Drosophila melanogaster: one gene and its partner. The protein of the gene in region 2 interacts with the protein of the main gene of each other region in a pairwise test. Each region holds a gene or a part of one and is shown on either strand. Other genes may lie near its edges.

Evidence for each region. Proteins that work in one complex are often made in the same cells at the same time.
Region 1: the proteins of CG11334 (region 2) and gish interact in a two-hybrid assay, tested with the Drosophila melanogaster proteins (one large-scale study listed by BioGRID).

What each region holds. Positions count from the first base shown.
Region 1 is NT_033777.3:16,271,188-16,276,043, reverse strand, and holds the start of gish (gilgamesh), read right to left. Parts: upstream 3,044-4,856; 5' UTR 2,714-3,043; intron 1,893-2,713; 5' UTR 901-1,892; coding exon 875-900; intron 1-874. Other genes in the region: Mat89Ba (maternal transcript 89Ba), read left to right, coding at 3,710-3,748, 3,805-4,856.
Region 2 is NT_033777.3:31,459,284-31,464,621, reverse strand, and holds CG11334 (uncharacterized protein), read left to right. Parts: upstream 1-1,584; 5' UTR 1,585-1,792; intron 1,793-2,154; exon of another isoform or gene 2,155-2,226; intron 2,227-2,443; exon of another isoform or gene 2,444-2,587; intron 2,588-2,653; 5' UTR 2,654-2,676; coding exon 2,677-2,808; intron 2,809-3,465; coding exon 3,466-3,701; intron 3,702-3,759; coding exon 3,760-3,992; intron 3,993-4,058; coding exon 4,059-4,222; intron 4,223-4,280; coding exon 4,281-4,610; 3' UTR 4,611-4,800; downstream 4,801-5,338. Other genes in the region: CG11333 (uncharacterized protein), read right to left, coding at 539-808, 871-1,080, 1,138-1,272; Loxl1 (lysyl oxidase-like 1), read left to right, coding at 4,901-5,338. UniProt on the Drosophila melanogaster protein: Catalyzes the interconversion of methylthioribose-1-phosphate (MTR-1-P) into methylthioribulose-1-phosphate (MTRu-1-P).

The sequences.
Region 1 (4,856 bases), about 15 Mb from region 2:
TAGTTTGGCTGGCGTGCCAGAGGCGAGAAAAAGCAGACGCCATAAGCCAAAAGCAACAAAAACACTTGCGAAAATAAAATAAAATCAAACACACAAGTTTAAATAGAAACATCTCTTTGCTAAAAATAAAATCGTTCGGCAAAAAAGGCAGCTACAACTAAATCTGTTGCTTGAACTTTTGACAATGTACAGTATTCGCTAGGAAATTAAAAGGAATTAGCTTTATGGAAATTTATTTATGTTAAACGAAATAAAATTATTTTAAACCAGACTCATTTTCTTTAAAAATTCGCAGTTTGCATTCGTTAATATTTTAAAAAGTTTTATGAGTGAAAGAAAAGCTAGTTCTATTGGTTAACTAAGCCAACCAAATCAAAACTGTTAGGTTTTAAAACTTGCAAACACGCGTTTCCCGACACAGCCATAATCTTATCGCTATCAAAATATCCAACCGCTTCTACGCCTGATAACAGTGTACTGTAGTACCGAATATGGAACATTTATGAGAACAGACGTCGCTTCCGTAGATAGTGGCAATGGTTTTTTAGCACGGCTTATCAATGCAAAATTATAAATAGTCGCAAGCCTATGGTCTCTAGTCAAAATTTGAGTACCGCTTGGAGTTGGAAGGTATAGCTAAGGGGCGTACAAAAGATTCAGATTCAAAAGCAGGGATAAAGCCAGTGGGCTAGATTCGCTTATCTTGATTTTCGATTGACAATAGAAAACTATAAATGGGTTTCAATACTGTAGCCAAAAGCAATGCCAACTTAAATGGTAGGATTAATTTTTAATTTTTGAAAGAGTCTTAGAACCATTACCTCTTTATGAATTTGGGGGATAATCGATATACAATTACACAATCATAACTCACCTTGCTTGCCGTTCTCGTCGCTGCATTTCGCCTAGCTAATCTCGCTTGAATTTTGATCGCTTTTCCGTAATTTTGATAATGATTTTTTTATCGACTGCCGCTGCTGCTTTTGTTTTTTTTTTTCCAACGTTGAGGCTGTTAATGTTGCTGACAGGCAACTGGTTTGATCCGAAATGCTGACTCTGTTTGACGAACAAACTGGAGGATCTGCAGGATCTGTGGGATGCGTGCGAATTGAGCGAATTATCCTCACCGCCCACACTCACACGCATTCGCGCACTCACTCACACTCACTTAGCGTCCGCGCATGTCGCGCATGCGAACAACACACACGGGAGATCCGTCGCTCTCTTTTGCTCTTTCCCCCGCTGGACGACAGGTGTGTGTACAGAGATTGCCTCTCTCCCTCTGTTCGCTAGCTTACAGTTATTCCAGTTGTTCCTTTTCCTTCTCTTTCTGCTGTTGTTGTTGTTGTTGCTATGGGGTCGTCGTTGTTTGACATCAAGTATGAAATTTGAGCAGCATCTCCTTGAAATTTCAGCTTTGGTGCTATACTTTCCGAATTTATTTTATGTTTTTGGTGAGCTGTGTGGTAGTTTAGTTATGTGTTCATATGTCAAAAGGCGGGCTATTTGTCGTAGGACTATTTTCCTATTGTTAATCGGCTTTAGGTTCCGGTGTAAATTAGCCAAGGCGAGTGTATCTATGTTGTTAAGAATTAAGGAAAACAGCCTCGTGCTACGCTGAACAACTATGTAAACAAATAATTTTGGCTAAACAATTTGACAAACACACTTTCGCACATTTTATCCAACAATTTTTGTGACAACAGATCTGAATCTCCGAATTCATTCAGATTGTTGCTATGATATTTTTCCTCCCAGTTTTTGATGACATTTTAGGCAAAAGGGACTATGTTGCTGTTTAAATATGTAGTTAAATTTCAATTAAGGGAAATTTAACCGGTCAGTATCACGCCTAAACTTTTAATGCTCACGATCGTGGAAATCAAAGCAATCTGAAAAATAAGAATGGAAAAGTTAAAGCAATTGTAAAAGAGCTGAATAAACAAAATTGTAAACGTAAAGATCGGTCTTAATTCCAAGCGCTTTGAATGTTTTGACGAAAGATCATGTTAACTGATACAAAATATAAAAAAACTCATATTACCGACGATTTAAACATTTTTCATTCTGTATGGATAATAAAAATAGTAAATAGACTAATGAATGTACGAAACTGCGGTATTTCTTTTGGTATGTTAGGCCAGCCATAGCGTATGCTGGTCACACTAAAAGCACTGATGAGAGCGCTAACTAAATTTGTTTTTTTTTTTCAATTGATTTTCATTTAATTTAGTAAGAGTTACTATTGACTTTAACTTAAAACTTTTAAAGTCATCGTCGCACAAATGAAAGTTACTCTCTTCTAAAAGGTACCAAATTAAAATTTAGAAAATTACAGAAAATTAGGCTAATTAGCTGCCATGGCCACCGCGCCGTATAAATTGTTGGAAAAATCTCTGGGGCCGCAAGGTCGAAGTAAATATTTCCGTACGTGATTTCGTTTATTTTTATAAATTTTCAAGTTTTGTTATTCGATGCAAAAAACGAGCCAAGGCGGCGATGGCCAAAGACCCAAAGAGAATAAGAGAGAGAAAACCAAGAAAGGCAGAGGGGCAAAGAGGCAGAGAGGGTGTAACTACTCGACTTTTGGCCATATTTTTTTCAATGGGCCTCCTTTCTGCCAACGCATCATTTTATAAGGTTTGCTTTGATCTTTACGGAATGAACGACTTGTGGGCTTTATTAATTAGGCAACTTTTAACTGCCGATTTACCTTTTATACAGTTTTGCACGCATTTTCATTACGCCTCATTTTTCACCCATACACTCTCACACGCACGCACGCACGCACAGACACAGTTACACACGTTCGGACCGAATATTGAAATTTGCAACTCGATTTGCTACTGTGCGCTCGTCGATTTCTGGATAACAACTTAGTTCACTACTTTTTATAAATTAAGCTGGGCTTGTGTTTAACTGATTTTCTACGAAACAATCCTCGAAAGACCAAAAAACGCACGCAAGAGAGCACGAGAAAAATGGTGCGATTTTTTCCCCTGCCTGCAAACACACACACACACGCTTATACATGGACAGAGACGGAGTAAGACCGTATAGAAAAACGAGGGAAATACTCTAGGCTGATTTAATGCTGATTACTGGTAAAAGAAAAATGGGATAATTTAATTAGCTTTTCCCGTTTATTTTAAACAGATACTTATATACTTGTGCTAAAGACAGAACTTACCTAAAGCCCTCTTTACATAAAAGATGTTTAAACATAATTATGAAATAAAAATACTGTTTAAAATACTGTTGCTGGCGAAACCAATTAGCCGGTAAATTTGTTTATCTACTCTTTAAAACTGTATAGGCCCACGGTAATATCTTTCGCGTTTAACTGATAATTTGTTTTTATAATATTATAAATTTTATCTTATTTATTGGTCCTGGATCCAAGGATTTCTCGGCAATTGGTATAGACATTTACACTTCACATTGTCTAAATTTGTAACTTATTCAACAACTGTGTACCATGCAATATATTTTGCTCTAATTTATTTAGTGTATAAAACCTTTTCAATATTTTAATTATAATTACGTTCGACACTGTTTTTGCGGCTGATTTGGGACTAAAAAACGAATCTGCCCAGTTCTAGGGTGACCATACAAAAACCTCTAATGAAATACCGAATTCTGAAATACCGCATCTGCAACACGTGCGAGTTTAGCTCTCTCTCCAACAAGTAAATAAATTTTATATTATATGCGATTTGTACAGGGAAACATCATGCCAGGAAAGTTGGTAAGATTGTCTAGATCTTTATGGAAACTATTTGGCCTATAACATACTTTGTTTAGGTGGGCTCTCCGAAGGGAGCTGCTCGAACAGGTACCCAAGCAATTGCACATGCCGGGGATCACAGCGACCTTGATGAACCAAAACCCAAAATCGCCAAGAGCGACCCACCATCCACTGCCATACCAAAGAAGAACAACTTCAAGCAGAGAGAAGGTACCAAGAATGTAAAGCCGCCCACTTTGGAGGAGATGAAGGAGCTACGAGACACCCAAAATCTCTTCCACTCCAATCTCTTTAAGCTTCAAGTTAAGGAAATGCTGGAGGAGCTGCAGTTAAAGCAGAAATACACAGATTTCATTGAAAACTGGCTTGAATCCTTTACGGCCTTTACCCGACAGCTAAAGGATGGCTTGATGGAGCGTACCCACTTGGAAGTTCCAATGAAGCTTTCTGAAAAGCCGACCGGATTTGTTTTCTCCAAGCCCACCAGGGAACCTTATCTGATCGGAGCCGCCGCCACGGGCACTTTGCTGGGTCCCAAAATTGTAGTGGATGTGGCCCTGGAGATGCCAAAAGAATCCCTGCACAAAGAAGATTACCTAAACCTTCGCTATGACCAGAAGCGAGCTTTGTATCTTACTTATGTGACGGAGAGGATGATGGAGTCCCCAGATTATGCAGAAGATCAGTTTAATTTCAACTACTATGCTAACAACCCGCTTAAGCCGGTTCTGGAATTGATCCCAGTTACTAAGCAAGTAAACAAGCACCTGCAAGTGCGTCTGTTCATCACTGCCCCATTAAGCAGTTTTAAGCCAGGCAGATTTGTTCCCTGGAACAACAATATTCGGCCCTCGTTTTACGGTGACGAATGGGACGAGAAAGATCCGCTGCCCTCCACCCAACACTACAACGCAAACGTACTGTTTGATCTAACTTTGTCCGAGAACCAGGCTCAATTGGATAAGGCCTTTAAGAGCAGGCGTAATTTTCAGGACGGCCTGCTGCTCCTTAAAGTATGGTTGCGTCAGAGGCAACTGGACATAGGTTACAGTGGGTTTGGTGCCCACATCTTAGCCGCTTTTATTGTGTACCTAAATACGCAGCGCAT
Region 2 (5,338 bases):
CCTGTTATGAGTCAATCAGACGCCTGCCTACATTGTCACCATCACTTGGTTCGGATACGATCGCTGTACCGCCGGATGACTGCAGCGCTGGCTGGGATGCCTGCAGCGCCGATTGAAGATGGCTAGATGGGCGCTGGAGATTGTTGCGATTGCATCATAAAATTTAACTGCACAGCCAGCCAATTCCAGGTCCAAAGAGCCGAGTCAAAGTCATTGCATAAATTGGCAGCACTGCCGTGCAGAAGCTGCTGTTTCTATCGATGGGATGGGATGGGATAGGATGGGATGTTTCTGGCATGGGATCTGTGTGTCTTCATGGTTCTTATAAGGCGCCGCCTGGGCAAAAAGGGGTAGCCCCATATGCTCCTCCATTCAGATGTCCACTTGGCCGAGATGTTTATGAGTTGACGAGGACAGGGAGGCCGCCCTACCGGTGGGTCCTTCTCTCATAATTCTCATAATTTCTAAGGTGACACACACTCTGCATGGGCTGGAAGGATGGTTTACTGAGCGAAAGACATGAAAAGTGCCGCCAGGCTTAATTTTTTGAGACGCGGCATAGCTGCATGTCTGCGGAGATCTTCTTCACCAGAGGAGTAATCTCCTTGAAGGACTTGTTGTTCTTGTCCCCCAGCAGATTAAATATCACACTCTCGGAAGTTGCTATGTTGCAGCCAATGTGACGCAGGCGCTCCAAGGCCAAGTCCCGATCCTGATTGTGACGCGACGCACAGCAGTCGGCCACCAGCCAGACATCGATTTCATCATTTACCAGGTCGAAGGCCGTCTGCTCCACACAGACGTGTGTCTAAATCATGTGGAAGCGGGGTCATTTTGCTAAACCAATCCCTAACTCAAGCCATAACCCACCTCCAGACCGAAAAGCACCACCGTCTTGGGCTTGCCACCGAAGATATCAGTCATACTCTTACGTACCGGCTCCACCAGCATAGAGAACATGGTCTTGGAAATATTGGCACAGGCATGCTTGATGTCCAACTCACAAACGGTCTTGCCCAGCCTCTCGGGATACTGCTCGGTGACCAGCAGTGGCACTTGGAAGACCTTGCCGGCTGCCAGCTGGAATGTGAATCCATTAGAACCCGACCATTATCCTGTCACTTCTCGCTGTCTCACCAGTTTAGTAGTGTTTTCGATGAGCGAACTTAGCAGCGGAATGGCCGGCTTGAACTTCTCCTGCACGTCGCACAGCATGAAGAGCGTTTTCGAGGGCACCAGGCGGTACAAAGCTGGTCCTCTGACTTTGCTCATGATTGATTCTGGGTGTGTAATAATGCGTAAATGAAATATTTGAAAACTTAAGGCAAACGGTTGCTCCGTTTGAATTTGGCGCTTGGCTAGCGCCACCTAGGGACTACTTCACGAACTTTCTACTTCACCAAAGTGGCGGGATGGTGAGTTATGGCTTAAACAAATATACTTGCTGTATATAACTGGAAAGTAACCAAAAGTAACAAAATGATAATAGGTCCGAGTTTGCCTGAAAATGCTTCCTATAGCCGTAAGATTTACAAAAGTTGCAAACAAAACAGCTAAATCAGGCTTGTTGTGGAACGGGAAGATTTTGGTATTCTATGCGGAAAAAGAGGAGACCACACTGCCCGCACTAGCATTCGTAAATCAAAAATTAAAAATAAATCAAGTAACAAAACGTGCGCGTTGCCGATGCGATAACCGCGAGCACCGATTCCTGATTTTTGATTTCGCTCCCCGGAAGCCACCAGTACCACCTGGTGTTGGGAGTCATTCAGCTGCTACACAGCTGCGAAAGGTTAGCTTGCGGCAACCACCAGTTGCCCCCAAATTCACCAAAACTGCTGATGGTTATGGTGATGGGGATAGTGATGACTGCCCAATCCCTTCCTCCCGACGCACTCCATCTGGCGGTTTATTGGCACAGGACCAGCGGACAAGTCGCTGTCACGCTGCGGCCCAACTAATTGCAGTCGCATTAATTAAGGCACACTCAAAATTGCCCAATAACCGGCCGACAGATAAGCAGCGCGATTAATTTCTTGCCGGGCTACACTTGTCAGCAAGAAATTCAACGCGAGCGCCCAACGTTTATCAATGGGGCAAGCGGCGGAGGGAAGCCCCAGCCACCGATGTCCCCGACTCGAATTAATCGACGATGTCGCGGACGAGGTCCCCCCCCCCCCCTCCGCCAGACTGCCACGCCCTTGGCCAAGTACACTGCACGAAAAGGTGACACCCTGATCGATAGCATCTATTGAAGTTATGTTTAACTCGGTCTGTTGGCAATTGTTATTCGTCAGGATCACTCAAATTACATATAAGTGTACCATTCGTGGAAGTCGGACTGTGTTCTTTTTGTGTACCGCCTGCTCTACCGGCGCCATTCTCGGCACTCTCGCTCGTCTGCGAAACAAACTCTTCCGACGCCCCAACCGTGAGGCTCGTTCAGTTGCTAACCGATCCGTTTGCCTGGCAGTCGTTGTTAGGGAGCGTTTAAAGCTACGAATTTCAAACCGAAACCGAAACTGAAACTGATCGCCTTCGATTAATAACTGATTAGTTGGCAGCGATTCGCCCACTAGTGGTCCAAGTGGGTTGCCCGTCTCCCTGCTTCTTCCTCCAAAAAGTGCACACATTAATCGGTAACCCTTTCCAGTTTCAGCACAATCCCCTGGAGAGATGAGCCTGCAGTCGATCAAGTACTCGCGGGGCAGCCTGGAGATCCTCGACCAGCTGCTCCTGCCCGGTCAGTCAAAGTACGTGGTGGTGCGAGGAGTGGAGGATGGCTGGAAGGTCATCAACAAGATGCAGGTGAGAATGCCTAGGCCAGCGCCTTTTCCTGCCTCCCTTAATAGTCCACGTTCCCCGGCATATTGCCATTAAAATGCCTGTTGGTACATTTCCTAATCTGCGCAACGATCGCTTGCTTGTCTCTTGTCGCTTGTCGTATGTCCCTTGCCCGGCTATAAATAACGTAATTGAAATTAAAAATTTAAAAACGCTTGCCAAAAATAAAACTACTCCGCGCACGTCACTTGGCGATCGGTTCCCACTGGGCTAATGCCCCAACAAGAAGATGATGGCCCATGGCCCATTGGTGGCCGATCGTTTATGTGTGAGCACGCGCCTTGTCACGTGGAGCCTCGCCGTTTTCCATGTAAGCTATTTACTCCGCCTTTTGCATCGTCATCTGATAAGCCAAGATAGGCTGACCCACCTAATCTGTCTGCTCTTCGCTCTTGTTTATGAATAACGACAATATAGCAGCGAAATTATTGCCCCAACGGTCTCATTTGAGACATGACAACAGCATGACAGCCTGATATTTTAAATATTCTCATTTAGCATCTTGATTGATCACGACTATTAATGGGTACTCGTTTCATATAGTCATGAAAAGTGGGTGCGTTTAAGGGACCATTAAAAATAAAACAAGCAATTTAAACTAATATTTTTGACTCTTTGAAGGTGCGTGGTGCTCCGGCCATCGCTATCGTTGGCTGCCTCTCCCTGGCCGTGGAAATCAACCCGGAGGATTTTGAGAACAAGAAATCACTGCGGCAGGAGATTGAGGGAAAGTTGAACTATTTGGTTTCCGCCAGGCCTACGGCGGTCAACATGAAGATCGCAGCCGACGAGCTCATCACCCTGGCCAACGAACTTTACAAGGACGAGGCAATCGACGTGACCCAAATGAAGCATAGGTAACCTCCTTACTGGGCTACGAGACGAGCACACAAAGTTAACCCCCTTCTGTTTAAGATTTCTGGACGCGACCGAAGCTATGCTAAAAAAAGACATTGCCGATAACCGTGCCATTGGAGCGAATGGAGCCCAGGCGATCCTACAGGGCGTGGCGAAGGCAGGTAAAGCGCCCGCTGGATCGACGGGATCCGTCCGGGTGCTTACCCACTGCAACACGGGTTCCCTGGCCACCGCCGGGTACGGTACAGCTCTGGGAGTGGTCCGCCAACTGGCCGAGCTGGGAAAACTGGGTGAGTACTTAATAGAGTTTGGTACATTTATTGATTACTTACGCACTTTTGCACTTTTCGCTCTAGAGCACGTTTATTGCACAGAGACTCGTCCTTACAATCAGGGAGCCCGCCTCACAGCCTACGAACTGGTCCACGAGAAATTCCCCGCCACTCTGGTTCTGGATAGCATGGTGGCGGCTCTGCTGCGGGCCAAAAATGTGGCTGCTGTGGTTGTAGGAGCAGATCGTGTAAGTAAGCCTCTTAATGATTAACTATTTTCGATTAATGGTTTCTTCCCTTCCTTAGGTGGCCTCCAATGGCGACACGGCCAACAAGATTGGTACCTACCAGATTGCCGTGGTTGCCAAGCACCACGACGTGCCATTTTACGTAGCCGCCCCTCTGACTTCCATCGATCTAGCGATTCCCGGAGGCGATCACATCATCATTGAGGAGCGTCCCGACCGGGAAATGACGCACGTGGGAGAGCACCGCATCGCTGCCCCGGGCATTAACTGCTGGAACCCCGCCTTCGATGTGACCCCTGCCTCTCTGATCACAGGCATCATCACGGAACGCGGTGTCTTCAAGCCGGCGGAACTGAAAGAGGCCATCACTAAGTTGCTAGAGTCCTAACCGGCGCACAGAAGTAGTTTACACATGCACTCCATACCCCCAAAAAAAGAAACCGCAGAAACCAGAGCACGCGCGCTCGGAATAGGCATTTTGCCAGCTGAGTTTTGTATACAAACGTTTTCCCGCCTGCCAAGCAGATGTGGGTCGATCCGTTGGGAAGCACAACGCACAATATACCTCCTACACATGTAGCCCCATTTGCCAGTTGTTACCCTACTGGCGCATTGTTCCATTGACTTTAAAACTGGTTGCGATTTGGGTGTGCTCCACCAGAAGGGGCTGAATGGGCGATGGCTTCGTTCCGGTTTCAATTGTTGCAGCTCCTAGTGGTTCTCAGCCAAGGTTGGGCCAACCTCAACGTGCAGAACAACTATAGAAACATGATGGTCCGACTGGCCACTAACAAGGCAGCGCTCGCCGGTATTCAAGTCCTCCGCGAGGGACGCGTGGAGGTGAGCTTTGACTTTGGCGCCTCATGGGGTACGATCTGCAGCACTTCGTGGAGCATGCGGGAGGCAAATGTGGTGTGCCGACAGCTAGGATTGGGCTACGCTTCCAAGGCAAGCCAGGGAACGGAGCACGGGGATAGCCGGAAGTATCCCTGGGGCATGGTGGGCACTCTGTGCAGGGGAACCGAGCGTCGCCTAGCCGACTGCATCCGGGAGTCCCACTACCCGAACCTCTGCAATGCCAGAAACCATAATGTCAGCATTGCGGCCTGTGTTAGC